4 linked regions of the Arabidopsis thaliana genome follow. The protein of the gene in region 2 purifies or fractionates together with the protein of the main gene of each other region. This does not show direct contact. Each region holds a gene or a part of one and is shown on either strand. Other genes may lie near its edges. The genes, in order: MEF14, CESA6, ATPQ and CER10.

Region 1 (4,434 bases), on a different chromosome or scaffold from region 2:
GCTTGGTTAAACAAAAACTTAAATGAAGCTTAATAGTTTTCAATTTGTGGTCAACACTCAAATTTGACTTTTGGTATGGACAAAACAATGTAGGCGTGACTGGAGGGTTGGCTCCACATTCATACACAATCTCAAAGTTCACAACTCCCGGAATAGTCAAGTCGGCAGCAAGCGAGCTCTGCGAACACGGCGTGCGTATAAACTGTATCTCACCGGGTACGGTGGCTACACCGCTCACTCTCAGTTACCTTCAGAAAGTGTTTCCGAAGGTATCGGAGGAGAAGCTACGCGAAACAGTGAAAGGAATGGGTGAGTTAAAAGGAGCTGAGTGTGAAGAAGCTGACGTGGCTAAGGCTGCTTTGTATTTGGCTTCCAACGACGGTAAATACGTTACTGGCCATAACTTGGTCGTGGATGGTGGCATGACTGCTTTCAAAATAGCTGGTTTTCCTTTTCCTTCGGATTCATGATCAATCATTTTGTATCGTCTATAAATAACTTTGTACTGTATTCAAGATTTTATATCAAAGTTGGATCTTAAAACATTTAATAAATTTTCAAAGCAACCAACTAAATATAAAAGTTTCTATAGTAAGAGTTAACTTTGATAACATATGACTTTCATTTGAATACAAGCTGGCATGAACTTGAAGCTTTGATCACAGTTTCCAACTCCTCGACCATCTCAACTCTCTCTTTCGAGGTAAGGCGTTTTGTGAGGAAAGTTGCTTTATCCAAACGACTTGCGTTACTAAGGATATATTTCGTCACCTCTTTTTCATCTTCTCGCCATTCGTAGTCTTCCCATACAAATGTCTCCAGATGGAGTAACATACATTTAGGAATATTCTTTGGCTGAATCCATTTCCACAAGGGTACGCCATCTAAACTTTTCTGCCATGGCTGTGGTTATGAGATCAATGGCGAGTTAACACAAAGTAAATTACATGTATATTAGATCATCAAACCCTAAGTTGAGGTGGAAATTTGCTAAAAGATGAATTTTCAATGCTTACACCGATGAGCTTGAGGACTTGTAAATTAGGAGAATGATCGAGCATGAGCATTAGTAGATTCCAACAATCAGCTCTATATATACACAGCTCCAAATATACCAACTGATAAAATATAGGAAATGGAATCTATACATGAAGGCAATATTATTAGTAGAGTAACAATGCAATAATAAGGAAACTAACTAATTACAAGAAAACCTTACCTTCAAGGCTGATATCTCCAAGGAGAGACGTTTGACTGAAGTCAGTGATCTCAAGATGAAACTTTTATTATTGTTGACAATATTTGCCTCCAACAGCATAGGTGCATTCTCAATAAGACAAGATCCACGACCACCAATCCATATACTTCAAGTATTTTAAAGAAGGAGCATTTATCACAAAGCCCACATGTTCTTTATCATTTCTATTACAAATCGATAGTCTTTGTAAGGAAGGAACTGCAATAGTTAAAGGCTTCACATTGGAGTATAGAGTTCCATGCACATCCAAGTTTTCAAGATTAGGACAACCAGATAAAAGGTTAAGAACTGATGTATTGTTTATGAAGTTCACATAGTGAAGGTGCAGAGTTCTAAGAGATTTCAGACAAACTGAAGAAGGGACAACCATACGAACCAAAAACTTGACTTCCAAGGTATCTAGTGTTTCACAATTGCACAAGCTTTCAGGAAATATGAACCGTCCTCTAGGTGCAATCTGATCCAGTATGAAAATTAATGGAAGATATCTAAAGTTATTTAATCCAAATCTATTTTTCTAAATAATTTTGATAATATATATATATATATATGTATCTATTTTTATTAATAGTTTTTATTTTACAATTTAATTTAATAAGTTTATGCAATTATTTTTGTATTTTTGTTTAGCTACATTGGTGGATATAGCGGCGTTGGTGAATAAAATTCCAGCGTATACAAGGCCAGACGTTTTATCCTATAACGGGCCGGGCCCAATATTTAAACCTTCTAGCTCACACAGAGGTCAAAGTTTTTGCTCTCGTCTCTAGATCTGTAGAAGTAGAATGGTGGAGCCATCGAGCCATGTGATGTGATCGAAACAAAAAGCTCTTTGCTTCTTCTTCGTCCATTTCTCGTAGCACACTTTTCACAAAGAAGATGGGTTCTTCACAATCTACGCAAATGGAAGACGAAGAAGAAGAAGAAGAGGAAACTGACAATGAAGAAGAAGAAGAAGAAGATAATGGCAGATCAAACACAAGACAATTAGACAATCTCCTAGTAAAGAAAGTTCTAGAACAAGAGCCTGAGATGTTACCATGTCACGCTTCAGCTTCACCACTCTCACCACAACTATCATCTCTCGGTACTCCAAGGCTTGGACCATCGATTAAAGTCTGGGATCCTTACAACGTCCTCTCTCCGCCGCCGCAACCGCCGTCTATCTTCTCTCGAATCGTGTCTGGTGATGAAGATCGAGCTGTGACAGAGGTTTATCTGATTAGCCATGGTGAGTCTGATCTTAATCTTAAACCTGATTTGATTGGTGGGAGATGTCATGTAGCTGCTCTTACTGCTAATGGTAAACGTCAAGCTAGGGCTCTTGCTGTTTTCTTCAAATCTCAAGGTGTTCGGTTTAATTCGGTTTATTCGTCACCTCTAGATCGAGCTAGATCCATGGCTGTTTCTGTTTGTCAGGTAAAGTTTCTTCTCTTAGATCTAAGGTTTAACGAAGTGTACAATGTTGCCTAATTTGTGTGAGATTGATCTGTGGTAATATCTTGGGAATGAATTAAGTAAGAGTTGATTGATCTAATGAATCCATTGAAACCACTAAGTACTGTTGTTACTGCTCTTTGTGTGAGCTTATCTTGTTCATGGTTGATTAAGGAGTTTCTTAGTCTTCTATAACTATAGCTTAGGCACAATCTAAAGAGTATATATCTTAGGATCATACATCAATGTATCATTTAGTGAAAGAAATGAGATTGAAAGTGGTTATTGAATTGGACACATTTTGTTTTTAAAGGAAATGAGTTTTCCGGAGGAGCATGTACAATCTTCGGATGCTGTTATTGAGATGAGTTTAGGGGATTGGGAAGGCTGTAATCAAGCAGAGATTTATAGTCCTGAAACTTTGAGTTTGATTGAAAGGTGCCAACCTGATTTCACAGCTCCATCTGGAGAATCACTGAGGCAAGTAGAGTTTCGAATGGTTCAGTTTCTAAACGGGACAGTCTCAGGAGTTGCAGAGAAGCTTAGGTCAGATTATTCTTCCACTACGAATCACAATGAAACTCATGAGCGTGATGGTGGTGTGTCACTTGCTTCGACTAACTGGGACTTACTACACAAGCATCGTCCCAGTCTTACAAGGAAGAAATCTGGTAAAAGCAGGCTTCAAGTGATGACTAATCACGAACCTGACGATGGAAACTCCCCAAGGGAAGAAGTTAATCATAATCACACTGACCTAAGTGATTCGTCTTCCTTAATCTCGAATTGTGTCGGGGTTTTCACGCATTCTTTGCCTATAAAGTGTCTTTTAACCGGAATCCTCGGTTGCAGTCCGGTAATGACTCATAAGATCTGTGTAGAAGACTCTTCAGTGACTGTGTTACAACATTCATGGAGAAACGGGTGGCAGATCAAACGAATGAATGATACTGCTCATCTTAGATTGTTGTAACTTTATTTACCGATAAATTATTTGGAAAAACGAGGATTCATATATGTTTACACCATGAATCTGCAGAAGCTCAAGAACAAAGGTTCTGCAGATAATGAAATGCCACGGCCTCTTTGTAATGTTTTGTTTGTGACATGAGGAAAAAAGATAAACAAAATGGATTCATTGATTTTGATTTGATATTTGTTCTTGTCTGATACTATTTGAGTGTGAAATTAGAGATTTTTTTGTTTGCAAATTTCTTTTCCTATGTTTGATTATAAGTACTTATAATCAAATTAGTCGAAATATTACTTTGAGACAAAAGAATGAATGAATGAAGGTTCGGAGTAAAAAAGCACTGTTTTGTTCCGTCTCTCGTCTTCTCCACACGGAGAGACACACAGAGAGACAAAACCTAACAACGCTGTTCAACAGATATGTCGACAAAACAGATGTTTTCTCATGGAACTCTGTCATCGCCGACCTCGCTCGTAGCGGTGATTCTGCTGAAGCTCTTCTCGCTTTTTCCTCAATGCGGAAGCTTTCTCTATACCCAACTCGCTCTAGCTTTCCTTGCGCCATTAAAGCATGTTCGTCTCTTTTTGATATCTTCTCCGGCAAACAGACCCATCAGCAAGCTTTTGTCTTCGGTTATCAATCCGACATCTTTGTGTCTTCGGCTTTGATCGTTATGTATTCAACTTGTGGGAAACTGGAGGATGCACGGAAAGTGTTCGACGAAATTCCCAAGAGAAATATTGTATCTTGGACTTCGATGATTCGA
Region 2 (7,940 bases):
ACTTTGCGTAGTGACACTTACAAATGAGAAACAAAAAAGTTTTCAAAATTCTCTAACCAAAAAGACTAACCAATCTGAGTGCTGCCCTCTGCAGATATGATGAAAGCACCATGTCACTTGTCAAAACAGAACCAATAAAAGTGTAAAAGGCTGTGTAGATTCGGGCCTGTATTGGGCCTGTATAATTTGTTTTGGGCCACTCTGATCAAGTTCGTAATTTTCTAAGGTTTGGTAACATTTTTAATGGATGCTTTAAAACGTCTCCAAGCATGCGGATTGAAAATCAAAACCAATCAAACCTCGAGTAAATTAATTTTTCAAACAAGAAATAAGATAGGGAAATTAGTGAAAATAAATCAAAGTTCTTTAATCATAAAAGATTACAGATTGAAAATGCTCTTCTGTAATATTCAAAAGAGATCAGAAATATTCAATTAAAGAATAATTTGACAAATCTTTTTTCTCTCACCACCAAAGAACAAAACAAATAGACAACAACTTTCTTCTTCATCTCTATATCTACAACACATTCTTGCAAAAATAACAATTCTCGTAACAAAATTAAATCTTCTTTTTCTTTTCATTTTTCATCATCTAATGAACACAATGAAGGAGTCTTTTAGAGGTAAAACAATATCTCTCTTACCTCTCTTTGATCCGTGGGAATTAAACCTTTTTCACCAACCCATCCACCGGTCAATCGAATCACAAGCAGTCTAAACCACAGATCTCGAGAATAGGACCGCCTTTCGCCACAAACGGATTAACCCGGACCCAAAGAAGTGTAAGAATCGAGGCCAGGAGGATGGACCAGACGACAATAATGGTTGGCATTCTATCTTGTTTCCCAAGCAAACCTTTAAGGAACGGGTAAAGATGAATGATGACCCAAAGTGCAAAGAACAGTCTTCCGAAAAGCGGTCCCCACGAGTCGTATCCATTGCTGATGGCATCAGAGACTCCGACTATGACTCCAATGACGTTTATGATGAGTAGAGTCATTGGAGGGATGAGAAGTGAAGTCCATTTGAAGAGGTAAAGGTCAGAGAACTCTCCATCATCAGCTGCTTTTGATGTGACTGTGAAGTTAGTGTCGACACCAGCAAGAACCTTGAGGAGACCTTGGAAGAGAGCAAACAGATGCGCAGAAACACCTCCAATGACCCAAAACTGTTCGTTTCTCCACCAATCATCGATCCCAACTTTGCCCCATTGCATCTCGAGAATACCCGTTATTGCAATCGACGAGAAGAGCGCCATGAAGAGGATACTCGCATAGTTGCTAATCTGGAAAAAGAAGGAACAAGAATCGTTTTCCGGTCTTAAAACACACAACTTGGAATAAAGATTCATATGATACTTTTAACCCCCAGTGGCAAGGAAAATGAATAAGCACAAAACGTGAAATAAAGATTCATATTTTGAGAACTCAAGATGATTGTTTTACCTCGGGAACGATGAATTTTCCAGTGAGAAGACAGATGGCAGGGAGAGAACAGTAAACGATGAGCGGTAGAGAGGTCCACGGGTAAACCACAGAGTTAATGTAGGACAACCGCTCAAGCCATTTCAACCCACCTCCATAACCATACCAAATAGGACAATGCCTACTCAAGAAAATCTCAACCGACCCAAGCGCCCATCGAAGAACTTGATGGAGACGATCCGAAAGATTGATTGGAGCTGATCCTTTGAAAGCCGCTAACTTTGGTGTACAATAAACAGATCTCCAACCATGAGAATGCATCTTAAAACCCGTAAGAATATCTTCGGTAACAGAACCATAGATCCACCCAATCTGAGATTTTTTTCACAAGGTCATCATCAAAATCAAGAATTGATTGAATAAACACAACAAAGGTTTAAAACCGGCTGCTTACCTCTTTTCCCCATTCAGTTTTATCTTCATATCCGCAACTAATGACTTGGATGGCTTCTTTAAGCAGACAAGCCGGGCTTGCGTTTCTAGCCATCCCACCATTCTCCATACGCGCAGATGCAACAAATACAGGAGACTGCCCAAATTTCTTCTCCAACTTCATTTGCATTGCCTCGGTTGACTGTTCTACGTTAGAACCTAGAATGTTTTTTAAATTTTATTTTTTTAGTAAAATGCACCGACTAACGAAAGAGTTTAACAACAAACAGGATTTGTATGATACCTTTAGTGACGCGGCCCTCTTCGATATTTTCTAATGCGTGGATCTGCTTTGACGCTTCCCTATTCTTCTTCTTCTTATCCGCAGCCACTGTCTTTGCTTTACGATTCTTTCTTGAACCAAAACATAGGAGACACCATTTTGGCCAGCAATTGCATGTCTTACGTGGGCCCTTCTTCTTCTTCGGTGCATCAAATCCGTAAAGCGCTTGCCTCCTGAAAACACAACCTGTACCGACGTATATAGGCCCTTGTAGCCCATCCAAACCTTTCATATTGATCTGTAAATAAAGATTCATTAGTTGGTATTCTACAGAAATCTCAAGAAAAAGGGATACAATAGGAAAGTGGTGGCTGTACTTACATCAAAGAACACAACATTGCGATTTGAGTATCGATCGTGCCTATCAATCCCATCGAACCTTTGAGGGAACTGAACATAACAGATTTTCTTTCCTGACTGAGGATCCATCATGAAACACATTGCTTCTCTAAGAGCTTTGCTATTGTTGATGTAGTGATCACAATCGACATTCAGAAGGTAAGGAGCATTTGATAGAACCCCAGAGACTCGTATCTTCAACAAAAGTTTTGTAGATGAAATCAAGAGTCAGGAACCATTTCAATAAATGGCAAGACGTAATTTACAAAGAAGAAGGTTTAGAGCTTTAAAAAGTATATCATTTACCAGGGAATTCATAGCTCCAGCCTTCTTATGGTGATCAAATCCGGGTCTCTTCTCACGAGAAACGTAAACTAATCGAGGCAACTCGTTGTTTTCGACATCACGAACACCGTCACTTCCAAGGAAGACCTTTAACAAGAAAACAAAGTATAATTAAATTTTGAAGGACAACACATAAGAAGGCTTTTCAGAAATAAGAAGCATTTGAAACTCACCTGAATCATGCCAGGATGATCTCGCACACTATTACCGGGCCAAGGTGTACCGTCTTGCATAGTCCAACCATCCTCAGGCACTTTCTGTGCTGTTGCTACTAAAGCATTGATCTTTACTTTGAATTCTTCATAATCTCTCTGTCAAAACCAGTAAAACACACAATCTTTCAAATCAATTTTCAAAGCCACCATCTTCTTTCATAAGAGCCCATATAACAAAAGATTGATAACTTTTCTCATGAATTTTTTTTTTCTAAAGCAAGAATCAATTAGACCAAAACTTTTCTCATCAAATCAAATTTATAAAAAAGTAAGAACTAGTAACCTTCATGGCTCGCCGCTCCCTAACAAATGCGGGATGAACTTTATTCTTCAAGTAGTCCATTTTATGGCAGAAATACCATTCGGGAGCACGAGGCTCAATACAATATTTCTTGCAGAAAGGAACCCATTTCCTTGCGAATTCAGCGGTCTCAGAAAGAGCTTCGAAAGTAAGCATAGCAGCACCATCATCAGATACGTAACAAGCAACCTTATCGACAGGATAATCAACAGCAAGAATAGACAAGACAGTATTTGCAGTAATAAGCGGAGGCTCTTTCAATGGATCCACTGTACTAACAAATACATCCACAGGGGATAGTCCCGACGGTTTCCCTTCTTTCTCATATCTGCAAACAAAAAAAATAAGGATTATATCCCCAAAACAAAGTTTTAACATTTCCAAGTGTAATAACCCACAAGATGTAAGTACCTTAATGAGAGTCGGTCCAAGTACGTTTCTCGCTCGATAGGGTACCATTTAGGGAACTGATCAAGAACCCATGAAACAGCAAACCATATCTCACATATAACAGAAATAAGCCACAAAGCATATGCATCTTTGACGGGGTGAAGAATACGGTAGTGAAAGAAGAGACCAAGAATCACAAGACGTAGCACAATTAACATCCGGTAAGGATTTATCTTGCTCGATTTGATTGGTATCTTCCTAGACAATGGCTGCCTTCCCTCATCCATCCTAAAATGGAAAAAAAAGGCTTGATAAATATCACTGCAACGGAACAAGACATCAACAAAAAAAATTATATTCTTTGCCTTACATTGGAAAATCAGCATCATCACCATCTTCAAAATCAGGATCTCCTTCATGCCTAACAACCTGAAGTTTCTCATTCTGCTTTCTCTTCCATTCCTCCATCCGATCTTTCCAAGCGACACTTCCATAACCATAAACCGCAAGATCTTTCTGAGGTACCATAGGCCTTGGATGTGCAGCCACGGTCGGGTCAGAAAGAGAAACAGGATGAACTCTATTGCCATGACCACCAAGTGAAGGAGGAACAATAAGAGCATGTCTATCAGAAGAAATCTCAACGTCCTGTAATAAAACAAAAGAGAAATCTGAGTGAGCCAATTACTGAAGATGGGTTATACAATGTGGATACATTCTGAGATTTTTACCTCGTCGCCGTAAGTCAGCAATGGAATCTGAGAGCCAGGTGGAGCTGAATCCAAATCAGATTGTGGGAAACCGGAGTTGCGACGAGAGATTGACATACCTTCAGAAACCTGATCAAATCCAATCCCATTATTTCCATACTCAAACTCATTGTCTAAATCATCAATGTCATCTTCCTCTTCATCACCTTCAACTCTTGGACTTCCTAACAAACAACAACATAGGCCGAACAAATCAGAAAATCTTCTACATTCACAAAAAACCAAAGAAATTTGGTCTAACAAACAACGAACCTTTAAGACGTTTGAAACGGGTTTTGCACTGTGGACAAGCTTGATTGCCTTCTCGTCTTTCGTACTCATAGCAAGGTCTACACACAGGGAATGCACATTCGTTACATGCCACAAACGGTTCTCCATCAACAGTCAATTCGATCTCATCTCTGCAGATTTGACATGTCTGTCCACTCAGCTCTTGGACTGATCTTATCTGCACAAAACAGTAGAGTTAAATACATCAGATCATAGTAGTGACACTATCAGACTGGATCTCACACCAGATCAAAGTAACCCAATAACATAATTATTACTCTTCACATTGATAGATTCATAATTGCAATTGAAGAAATCTCTTAAATTGGAGAATTAAGACAAGTCAAATCCGGAAAAATCCATCCCACCGACACAATCAATTCTTGATAAAATTAGCTACAAGGGTACGTAATCTTAATACTAGTACTAAAAACCCTAAATCTTAATTGATTTGCAGTGGTAAGAGCCAGATCCACAAGAAAAGTAAAAAAAGTCAGAGACTTTTGAACAGAGATAGAGAAACACAGATCAAAAGACAGAGAATTGGAAACAAAAGAAGAGGAGAAACATACTCGGGCATTCTCATCGGCATTAATGAGGACAAACTCATTCCTGTTGTGAGAACCGGCGATTAACCGACCACCGGTGTTCATATTTGTCTGAAAACAGACACAGCTAACAATCTTGGATTTCACAGATCGATTGAGAAAGAGAGGAATGTGTTGTAATTAACTCAACTCGATTGTCAGAGATCCAGAGACCATAAATCAGAGGATAGATAGCTCTCTTTCTCTCTCTCACACACACACAAAGCGGCAAACCGGAGTCTAAAAAAACAGACTTTGATGGGAAAAATATAATAAAAATACAAAAGGGGGAATAGTGAAGGTGTATTGTATATATGGAGATGGTATTGATTCAGCTGCAAGCCACAACCTTTTCTTTTCTTTTGGTTTTGGGCCTCTCTCTCCTCTCTGAAAGTGCACACAGTCACAGAAATAAAGGATGATTCCAGAGCGAGAGAGAGAGAGAGAGTCAATGGTGGAGAGAGAGAGAGAGACAGACGCAAGCCTGCGAAATGATGATAAAAGGGGGTTAAGTACAAACGCGTAAGGAAGAAGAGAATCAGTGATTAGTTAAATGGTGTGAGATAATTAAAGGCAATTATGTAGATGAGGAAAAAGAGCACCAAAATTAGATAAAATTAGTAATTAAATTTTGAGAAGTAAAAGAATGTGGGACCCATTAAACCTTGTGTGTATCTCTCTCTTCCACTCCACTTGTTGTTGTAAAGAAGAGATTAGTAAAAACTTCCAAACACACATTATTATTAGCCATTAATTATTAACAATACTGTATTATGTGATGCATTGAATCACCCTAACATTTTATTTTGTCTCTAAACTTTAGGTCTTTTGTTTTGTTACAAAAAAAAGTCACCTTTTTTTTTTGGGTGATTTTCTTCACCCTAAAATGTGTTTAATTTGGTTTCGGTTAAATTTTCCTACCATACATGTTTTAAATATATAGTAAAATCAAATCTACTTTGGATGGAGCCTTTTAGATTTAGTTTAGATCATATTTGGTTTATTAAATATATATATTTTAAAGTTAAAAAATGAAAATAATATAAATGAAGTGAAACTCGGTTTGAATTAATAACTACATTTTGAGCCAATTCAGAGTGGTTAGTCAATTTTCTCTATTAATCAATTGATAGCCGAGATTGTATATAATCATTATAATTTTATTTTCGTTTTAATTATTTGTCTGCGTACACTCTCACGTTCTTGCAACATGTGCAAGAAAATAATAGTTGTAATGAAATAGTATTATCTTAATTTAAGATTAAAAAAAAAGTTACACAATCAAGTTCTTAATTCCTCTAATTATTTTGTTAGAGAGACTTCAAAATGTCGAGAAACAGATATGGGCATTTACTTCCCAGACAAAAAACAATCTGTAAGCATCGTGTCCAAGATCCTATTTTCTAGTTTTTTTTTTTGTTCCTTCTAATTTTTTATATACTTTTTTTTTGTTCCTTCTAATTACGTTTAATTTTTTACTTATTAAATTTATTGCTTAAGTTAATTATGTTCTACGCATGGACTGTATCATGGTTTTTGACTGTTGACTGCATTGGTTTTCACTTTTGCTTCCCTCCTTCCTCTCTTATGTTTTTACTTTTCTAGTTTTTTTTGTTCCTTCTAATTACGTTTAATTTTTTACTTATTTAATTTATAGTTTACTTATTTAATTACATTTTTATTAGTTTAATATCTCCATCCTCTGATAATTTTCTTTTTAGTTTTTATAGTTAAATTATTTTTCAACTTTGATCACTCTCTTTTGTTCAATCAGTTCTGTTTATTTTACTATATTTTTTTGTATGTTATGTCTACCATATTTTTAAATAACATGCTTTTTTTTTTTTTAATCTTGGCTCCACTCGCCAAGTCGCCATATAGCTAATTTTTCCTCCGTGCTTAAATAAGAGAAAAATGTTCAAATTATTGAGACTATGGTATCACATCACACAAATATATGCGATTTGCCCATGTATGATGTCTATACTATATGTATACATTTGCCGACAAATAGTTCGTGGTATATATAAAACAATATTTTAACAGTATTTTGCTTGTTGATTTTTTTTAATCTTTTGACTTGTTGATAGATATAGTCCGGAAATTAAAGAAATATTAAGAAACTTTCATAAAAAAAGATCGAACTTTAGTAGGTTACCACATCAAATGTCGTTTTCATGATTGATTGAATGCTGTGTACTGTCTTCTCCAAGCCCTCGTGCCACATGTTCTTATAGAAACTGTCGGTGCCCTTATATTATTCTTTTTCCTAGTAAATATTGTTTTAATTTTCAAGACTATAGAATAGAAAAACGTTTAAATTTTCGCTTATGTATAGTTTACATTACTTTGGTTCTTTGGAAATACCCAATTTACAACTATATATATACCACTAACTAAGTACATAAAAAAAAATAAAAAATATATTGCTTCTGTTTTTACTAGCAGATCGAGCTGGAGCGCTTGGTCAACGTGATTAGAGATTTTATGTACGTAGACCCGATTAATGTTTGGGTTGCACT
Region 3 (4,318 bases), on a different chromosome or scaffold from region 2:
GTCCAAGAAATGGTTTGGTAAATCCAAGAAGCTAGATGTTACTAATTCTGGTGCAGCATATTCTCCTCGTACTGTCAAAGACGCGAAACTAAAGGAGATTGAGGAGCAACAGAGCAGACATGCTTACTCTGTGGCTATTGCAACTGCTGCAGCTGCAGAGGCAGCCGTTGCAGCTGCTCAAGCTGCTGCTGAAGTTGTTCGTCTCTCTGCATTATCACGGTTCCCCGGGAAATCAATGGAAGAGATCGCCGCTATCAAGATTCAGACAGCATTTAGAGGATATATGGTAACGTTTTTGTTTTTTAACATTTTCAAGTCTAGTAACTATAAAGGTGGTTTTGCTAACTAATGGAACAAAGTTCATACTTTTTGGTTACCCTTTATTAGGCAAGAAGAGCATTGCGTGCGTTGAGAGGTCTTGTGAGGCTAAAATCTTTAGTCCAGGGGAAATGTGTGAGACGTCAAGCCACATCTACATTGCAAAGCATGCAAACACTAGCTAGAGTACAATATCAGATTCGTGAGAGAAGGCTCCGATTGTCTGAGGATAAACAGGCTTTAACACGACAGCTCCAACAAAAACACAATAAAGACTTTGATAAGGTAAGCAAATCAAATCCTTACAAAGATGTTTATAATTTTAGTTACAAACTTGGCTTTTTGTTGATCTCGGATACATGAGAAATTCACAATGTGAAATAGATTATGTTTCTTGCTACAAACTTAAAGATTGTATTACGTTTTGTGAAATAGACTGGAGAAAATTGGAATGATAGTACATTGTCGCGGGAGAAAGTTGAAGCAAACATGTTGAACAAGCAAGTAGCAACAATGAGAAGAGAAAAAGCGCTTGCATATGCATTCAGTCACCAGGTATTAAACTAGTTTCCTATCTTACTTTAGTGTGTCTTTACACCAGAAGAATTATATATCTCAAAATGGTGAAACTTGTTAATATGCAGAATACATGGAAAAACTCAACTAAAATGGGTTCTCAAACATTCATGGACCCTAACAATCCGCATTGGGGTTGGAGTTGGCTAGAACGTTGGATGGCTGCTCGACCAAACGAAAACCACTCACTCACACCAGATAATGCTGAAAAAGACTCTTCTGCTAGGAGTGTAGCAAGCCGTGCCATGTCTGAGATGATTCCACGAGGCAAAAACCTTTCACCAAGAGGAAAGACACCAAACAGTCGAAGAGGGTCAAGCCCGAGAGTGAGGCAAGTCCCAAGTGAAGACTCAAACAGCATTGTGAGTTTCCAATCAGAACAACCTTGCAATCGTAGGCATAGCACTTGTGGATCAATTCCATCAACTAGAGACGATGAAAGCTTCACCAGTAGTTTCTCTCAGTCAGTTCCAGGCTACATGGCACCTACACAAGCCGCCAAAGCAAGAGCTCGATTCTCAAACCTTAGTCCTCTAAGCTCAGAGAAGACAGCGAAAAAACGGCTTTCCTTCTCGGGATCTCCTAAGACTGTAAGACGGTTTTCAGGTCCACCAAAGCTGGAAAGCAATGTTACTAAGAAAGATACTAATCTTGCTTAAACAGAGAATGGATATATATATATAGTTTATATCTGACATTGTTGATTAGGCAAAAGTCTGGTGCAGAGGTGAATTCAGAGAAGATTCTGTTATGTCTTTGTTTGTTTTTTTGGTATTTTTTTTTACTACAACAAACTTAATTATTTGTTTGACTTTTTTAATTGGTTGAACATATTTGTATTGATGAAGAGACATATATAATTTTCCACATGCTATCTGAGTTCCTTCTTTAACATATTTGCTAACGCCAAAGTAATCTAAAACATAGAACCAGTATTGAAACTTAATGGGGGTGTTTTTTAGGTCAATTAAATAATAAAGGGGTTAAATTAGAAATAAAGAGAAGTAAAAGGGCCTGTAAGCCTTTTAGGGATTCTAGGGCTTTCCTTCATTGGTCAGATCAGACGACGTTTTACATCTTCTTCTTCTTCCTCTTCGATATTCGTCAGTGTGTGTATTTTGGGGAAAACTTTGTGAGCAAAGAGCGAGAAAATGAGCGGAGCCGGTAAGAAAATCGCGGATGTGGCTTTCAAAGCTTCAAGGACTATCGATTGGGATGGTATGGCTAAGGTCCTTGTCACAGATGAGGCTCGTAGAGAGTTCTCTAACCTTCGTCGTGCTTTCGATGAGGTTAACACACAGCTCCAGACCAAATTTAGTCAGGTTCTCCTCTCGATTTCCCCCCTCTCTTGATCTGATTTTGTCACTACTGCTTGGTTTAGACTTTTTAGATCTTTATAATTTCGATTTCTGGATCAGGTGCTTCTTTCACGAATTTTTACGATTATCAGATTTTTGTTGGTGACACTCATTTTTTTCTATTTTGTTGATGTTGTTGTTCCCATTGTTGATTGATCCAGATATGTGTTAAGATCTATTTCCTTAAGACGTGTTAATCAGAGAACATTGTGGTTGGTCTTTGTTTATTGATCATTAGAAATGTGGAATTGTATCGAGAAAAACATTGATGTATACTATGATTAGCCCACTACATTTCCAATTCCTAAGAGATCTTTTATTTCCTAACTTGTTTTATGTATTGGGTTGTGGAGTGATTGTTGTTTTTGGTTATCCTTTTAATCCAGGAACCTGAACCTATAGATTGGGATTACTATAGGAAGGGTATTGGAGCTGGCATTGTTGACAAGTACAAGGAAGCTTATGACAGTAAGTTTTATTTTCTCTGCAATTTATACTGATACTTGGGAGCGTTTGTGTAGCCTTGCAACTCATTATCACAATGAGTTTGTCAGTGGTTATCAAGCGGATGTCTTTTGCTTGCCTTACTTCGGCTCTCAAACCTGACTATATTGTTTTGAGAGAGATGTGCTTAAGAATGGGGGCTGAAACTGAAGTTCTTATACTTGTTATATATCTATTTGATTGTTGGAATTGTGGAGATATATCAAAGAAGATTATGAGAAACTAAACTGCATCTTTTATGGCTTGCTGCAGGCATTGAGATTCCAAAGTACGTTGACAAAGTTACTCCTGAATACAAGCCAAAGTTTGATGCTTTGGTGAGTAATAGCTGAGACACTCGAGACTTTTTTACAATTTTGACAGGTCTTTTCAATTGACATCGTTTTTGTTCTCTTGTGCCATGTTTCATGCTATATCTAGTTGGTGGAACTGAAAGAAGCAGAACAGAAATCGCTCAAGGAGTCTGAACGGTTGGAGAAAGAAATTGCTGATGTCCAAGAGATCAGCGTAAGTAGCCAGAAAAAACAAATCCTCTTCTATGAAGTTTGTGTGTATTTTTTTTCAACTCAAGATTCTGATAAAATGATCATGGTTGTTTCTATGTGTTGGTGTAATCAGAAAAAGCTCAGCACCATGACTGCAGATGAGTACTTTGAGAAGCACCCGGAACTCAAAAAGAAGTTTGATGACGAAATCCGTAATGACAACTGGGGATACTGATCATGTTTCTCCATCTCCGGCTTGGAAAGAAAACTCTCTTTCTCTTTCTCTGTTCTCTTACTGTGATTTTGTGAGCCAATCATAACAATAATAAGTACACCATTCACTTAAGCAGTGTTGAGATCTTCATTCCAAGGAAGATAAACGCATTTGGTTTTAGTTATCAATTTCACAAATTGTTTCGTTTCGTTCTTCAGTGAATAATAAGAGTCAAAAAAATTATCATTGTCAAGGAATGAAGAAGACTCTTGACTCGTCATTGTTACATTTCCTCTCTTAGCTAACAGGATAGTATTAATGTCATGTTTTTAGTTGATTTTTTTGAGTTAGCAATTCGGTGCAATGGTAAATAAAGACGAACCCAAACCAACTCTGGTAAGCAAATTTGGTTGATAAGTCTGTCGGTTTGTTGTTAAGCCTTCGGTTTACCTCGAACCGGGTTTTAGAATTTTTGTCGACCCAGAAACACATATCCCAGATTTCGTTCTTCAAGACACAATGCTAATTTCTGCAATTACACTCAAGTGGTGAGCTTATTACTTGATGGAGCCTTGCGCAACCATAGATAGTTCACGAAATGGTATGCGGTTAATGGTTATCAAAGGTGGGTGAGGTCTTTGATTCTGACCGTTCATAGAGGGTTAATATAATCGATTGCTATTTTTGATTTTTGCCGTTAAGTCTCTCTGTAAGGTCCAGTGCATGTTACTGCTTGTCTAATTACACGAAACAAATACTGGTTAGCTATGTGCTTAGAGCAGAATGCTTAATAACAAGTAGAAAGACAAATCTTTATTGGTCTAAAAGAATCAAGATCCACGTGCTCTCCTCCTACCCTCTTC
Region 4 (4,430 bases), on a different chromosome or scaffold from region 2:
CCGAGGCAACAAAAGCCGCGCAGATGGCACTATCGAAGCTTAAAGACAGGTGGAGGATAATAAACGGGGTAATGTGGATGCCTGATAGAAACCGGTTACCAAGGATAATCTTTGTCTGTTGCTTGCTGCACAACATTATTATCGATATGGAGGATCAAACTTTGGATGACCAACCTTTGTCTCAGCAACATGACATGAACTACAGACAACGAAGCTGCAAGCTTGCCGATGAGGCTTCATCGGTCTTGAGAGATGAACTCTCTGACCAACTGTGTGGAAAAAATTCATCAGCTTGATTACTCTCTCCCGGTTCTTGTGGTCTTTCTATGAAAGCTTCATTTGCTTCTTTTTCCTTCTGGTAATTTTGTTTAGCATAACATTTTATCGTTTGATTTGATCTATTGACATATTCTTTTATGGGACAAACAAAAATGTGTATCTTATGAATGTTATTTTTAATTTATACAACTTGTATGTTTCATCGACGTCTAAACTCATTGCAATTGTCATTATAGAATGCCGCATAGACTGATTTATGTTACTAGTAATCATATTTATTATTGACTCATGTATGCGATACATAAAGAGGAATTGGTTTGCGTGAGAAACAACTACACAAGTACATTTCTAAATCTCTCTAACTTCAAAAATCAAAACATATTGAAACAAAAGGAATAAACATGTTATAACCAATACATAGACCGAACAAAAAAGGAAACGATACAGAGAACCCAAAGAAAGTCTCATTTTCAGCTTTATTAAGAGCTTTTACTGATAAGCAACAATGGCTTCTAAAGGAATGGAGGAAGTATCACCCATCTTCTTGGATACTTTGGCTTTCCATCTTTTCCATCAAATATCTGCAATACCAATATCAAACAATCCACAATAAGAACATTATTTGAGAATTTTCAGTTCCGCTAAAATCATATCGTGAGACCGCTATGTTTACCTTTCTCAGACGGCTGTGCTTTCCAAGAGCCCAATTAGTCATGATTAGAGCAGCAACAGCGAGGAAAACATATCCTGCAATGGTCTGAGTAGCGATGTTGAATCCTAGCCATTGGTAAATCTCGGTAGTGTAATTGGCACATGTAACAATGTTGAAGAGGAAACCGCGTGGAATCTGGTAGCCTCCAGCCCCACTGGGGTCCCTCAGATTCTTCAGCAATATGTGACAGTAAAAGTTTGCGACTTGGCAAACCAAACCAAACCCGAAACCAATCTTCATCTGAAGGTCACTAACTGGAGTGTACAAGGGATGGTTGACGTAATAAGCAATGTAAGCACCAAAGCTCCAGTAATAAGCACAGTTCCTGAACACATTCCCGATTGGGGAGGTTGCGTGGCTGAACCGATGTACGAAAAACGTTTCTAAGATCCGTTTGAAGTAGTGAAAGCACCAGTAGTACATAGCGTACGTCTGGACCGGATGGATCACACAGTCCTCTCCATAACCAAGAAACTTGTAAACAGGGAAGTAGTAAAAGACAGGGTAGATAAGGAGAGGGCCAAGATACTCGAAGAAGAAGAGTGTGCGGTAGGAAACTTGTGCCCCCAGGTCTTTGAAGACTACAGTTAAGGAGTTGTTGTTTCCATCACAGTACTCCTTCAGTGATTTCTTGCTATTGAGGACAACAGGTTTGTCCTTCGATCCAGGAGTCACGGGAAGAGTCAGTCTTTGCCTCGACGGGTAAAACTTCTTAGCTGTTGAAACAACAAAACCCAAATCAAACAGTTTAATACCTACTGAGAGAAAATCAAACTAAGATTTGAATGAACGAGATAAATATAATACATACAGAATATACATTGTACTGTATAGTAAGATGATTTCAGATAATTGCCATTGATGGACAATCTAAAGTGAACCTTTATTAAAGCTAAAAAGGGACTGATCCATAAATGACAAAAGGTTGTGATGATTAATTCAAATCCAAAACTGTGTTTAGAAGCTTAAGTGATCCTTATCAGCAGAAAACATTATCAAATCTAAATACTCCTTAAGCTTCCACACAGATCTTGATTATATAACCCCATAAGCATCAAATGGTATAAGGAGAACTCAAACACATAAACACTAGCTTAAGCTTACACACTCAGGTGAGATCTATACCAACATTCGACAAGTCAAATTTCAAGTAAAAATGAAAACTTTGGAAACTTTACCTCTCTTATGAAACGCTTCTTGCAGATCAGCAACAGTCGCCTGCGAAGCACAAAACACACGAAATCGAAATCAACAACCCAAAAATCATAAAGCATGCAACTTTCCCTACATTGAGGGACCAAACTAAAGAACAAAAACCTTCAATCACATTTTGGAAACAAACCCACGAATCAGAAGAAGAAGCAGATCGGAGAAGAGAGTATCATAAGAAACGAGAAAGTACCGAATCGGGGAGGTCAAGGGGAGCTTTGAGGACTTCTCTGCCGCTGCGGGAGACGACGGTGACCTTCATGGTGCTTAAGCGGAGCAAACGAGGAAGACCCAGATGAGGAAATTGAGAGAGATAGAGAGACAAGGGAAATTAAATAGAGAGGAAGAAGAAGACGAGATTGAGCATTGAAGAGGATGTAGTTGGGAGTAGGAGAACTACTAACTATCTTCCCAACTTATGCGATTAGATTGGGACCATTTTACATTTTTAGTTGCTCCCCATCATTTTTTTTTTGGTTTTTACTCCAAACAAAAACATTTGTTGCAATTGCAAATTATGGCTTTGTTTTAAGGATCCACCATTAGTAATTACTCAGTTTAGGTTTAGATTTTTGTTTTTTCGGTTTATGAATCTACTATACTATAGATTATCTGCTAAGGTTTTAGTTTCGGTTAAGTTTCGAATTTTAGTCAAATATATAATTTGTATTCAAAAACAAAAACTTTTACTATAATTTTTTTTATCAAATCGAGTGATCCGGTCAACTTAGATAGGAACCACCAAAGTGTTACTCGTTTTTTTTTTGGTATTTGGTTTAGTCATGTTTAGTTAAAACGTAAAAGCATTGCAGTATTCGCTATAGAAAAGAGTGAAATAATGTTACCTAGAAGAGATTGATTCATGAGCACAAAAACATTAGTTGCAAACTTCTACCCCCTCACTTGATGACATATGTCCATCGTATTGATCTAATGCTAAAATAAAATGTTGTATCAATGCAGTAAAAAAGTTAGGATTTTACATACCACAAAATGGGATGGAGTAATGAGAACGAATCCTTGTCATTGTCGTATAAAAGATGCAAATAATAAATGATCCCGGCCCTTAACCACATGGAAGTAGTGTGTTAGTTTAGTTATATTGGTCAATGAAATTTGCTTTTCCAACAAAAAAAAATCACCCAAAGTCAATCGCATACGAGAGCTCTATTAATTCAAGAGAGCAGCAAATAAAGCAAAAACTCAAAACCTAAGTTTTCTGAATATGAAAGGGGTTAGATAATCATTCTCTCAACTAGTTAAAAAAAGTAATGATAAAATTAAAAACACAATGGATCAATTAAGAGACAGTAGTTTATGATATATATGGTTGGGATCGATTAGTTGACATCACAAAGATCAAAATAATGACCGGTAATTGCCCAAATACCAAGGCGACAATTCATGCGATATTCAAACACCTTAATGTCATTCAAATACTATAACTAACTATCCTCAATTAACAAAGCTAGCTAGATTTTTCTCAAGTGAGCAACAGTCTAATTCTTCTGAAAAAACTTGTTTTTTCCGAGTGTAAATTATCCAATCTACTTACTACAATTTGAGCATTAATCTAGTTTTCTCTGCAACTTTAAAACCAGGTGTACAAGTGTCAACACCAGATCTAGCGTAAAACACTTAAGCTAGTACTTAAATAGATTATGCCTATTTTTTCGACCATTATATATTAAACTTTCCAGCCTTTCGTGAAAAAATGCGCATGTTCTTGTTGGAATCTAGGAATCTTCTTCTACTAAAGATTGGCATGCACGTGGTAACGATTTCCATTGTATACTATCTCGATATTTTCCCACCTTAAATATCTTGAAAATTAAGATCAAATTATATGAGAACATATATTGTATCATTGTTTGTAATAGCCTTATATAGTGTGTAGATGTGAACTATGGATACAAAAAACAATAGGAAAGAAAAAGCTGCAGAGAAGGTGTTGCTTTACAACTATGAATATGGGCTCATGAGATGTACACTACAGATAAGCGAAGATTCCTGTTGCATGAAAATGTGTTACTAATAAAAAAAACACATGCACATTTCTATAAAGACGAATTTCTTTTAAATAATAAATTTCTATAACAAATAAAGATAAGTGCTCCTTTAAAAACATGCAAAAGAATATATAGATTTACCGTATCAGATTTTCATACAATTTTTATATTTTTTGAGCTTGAAAGATTAACATGACAAACTGTATCGTGTGTCCTCGTCT

The links.
Region 1: the proteins of CESA6 (region 2) and MEF14 purify together in Arabidopsis thaliana (affinity purification with mass spectrometry, with the first as the bait; one large-scale study listed by BioGRID). This does not show direct contact.
Region 3: the proteins of CESA6 (region 2) and ATPQ purify together in Arabidopsis thaliana (affinity purification with mass spectrometry, with the first as the bait; one large-scale study listed by BioGRID). This does not show direct contact.
Region 4: the proteins of CESA6 (region 2) and CER10 purify together in Arabidopsis thaliana (affinity purification with mass spectrometry, with the first as the bait; one large-scale study listed by BioGRID). This does not show direct contact.

What each region holds. Positions count from the first base shown.
Region 1 is NC_003074.8:9,846,610-9,851,043, forward strand, and holds MEF14 (Phosphoglycerate mutase family protein), read left to right. Parts: upstream 1-2,018; 5' UTR 2,019-2,137; coding exon 2,138-2,677; intron 2,678-3,008; coding exon 3,009-3,668; 3' UTR 3,669-3,934; downstream 3,935-4,434. Other genes in the region: AT3G26770 (NAD(P)-binding Rossmann-fold superfamily protein), read left to right, coding at 94-470; AT3G26782 (Tetratricopeptide repeat (TPR)-like superfamily protein), read left to right, coding at 3,985-4,434.
Region 2 is NC_003076.8:25,879,099-25,887,038, reverse strand, and holds CESA6 (cellulose synthase 6), read right to left. Parts: upstream 6,007-7,940; 5' UTR 5,485-6,006; coding exon 5,404-5,484; intron 5,010-5,403; coding exon 4,814-5,009; intron 4,726-4,813; coding exon 4,523-4,725; intron 4,440-4,522; coding exon 4,162-4,439; intron 4,080-4,161; coding exon 3,813-4,079; intron 3,730-3,812; coding exon 3,384-3,729; intron 3,197-3,383; coding exon 3,059-3,196; intron 2,973-3,058; coding exon 2,847-2,972; intron 2,736-2,846; coding exon 2,523-2,735; intron 2,440-2,522; coding exon 2,163-2,439; intron 2,078-2,162; coding exon 1,881-2,077; intron 1,799-1,880; coding exon 1,448-1,798; intron 1,288-1,447; coding exon 706-1,287; 3' UTR 311-705; downstream 1-310. UniProt on the Arabidopsis thaliana protein: Catalytic subunit of cellulose synthase terminal complexes ('rosettes'), required for beta-1,4-glucan microfibril crystallization, a major mechanism of the cell wall formation. Involved in the primary cell wall formation.
Region 3 is NC_003074.8:19,394,644-19,398,961, forward strand, and holds ATPQ (ATP synthase D chain), read left to right. Parts: upstream 1-1,780; 5' UTR 1,781-2,045; coding exon 2,046-2,216; intron 2,217-2,638; coding exon 2,639-2,720; intron 2,721-3,008; coding exon 3,009-3,073; coding exon of another isoform or gene 3,074-3,077; intron 3,078-3,176; coding exon 3,177-3,263; intron 3,264-3,374; coding exon 3,375-3,476; 3' UTR 3,477-3,801; downstream 3,802-4,318. Other genes in the region: IQD3 (IQ-domain 3), read left to right, coding at 1-286, 388-603, 754-873, 963-1,553. UniProt on the Arabidopsis thaliana protein: Mitochondrial membrane ATP synthase (F(1)F(0) ATP synthase or Complex V) produces ATP from ADP in the presence of a proton gradient across the membrane which is generated by electron transport complexes of the respiratory chain.
Region 4 is NC_003074.8:20,520,395-20,524,824, forward strand, and holds CER10 (3-oxo-5-alpha-steroid 4-dehydrogenase family protein), read right to left. Parts: upstream 2,705-4,430; 5' UTR 2,463-2,704; coding exon 2,394-2,462; intron 2,210-2,393; coding exon 2,170-2,209; intron 1,708-2,169; coding exon 953-1,707; intron 861-952; coding exon 792-860; 3' UTR 536-791; downstream 1-535. Other genes in the region: AT3G55350 (PIF / Ping-Pong family of plant transposase), read left to right, coding at 1-296.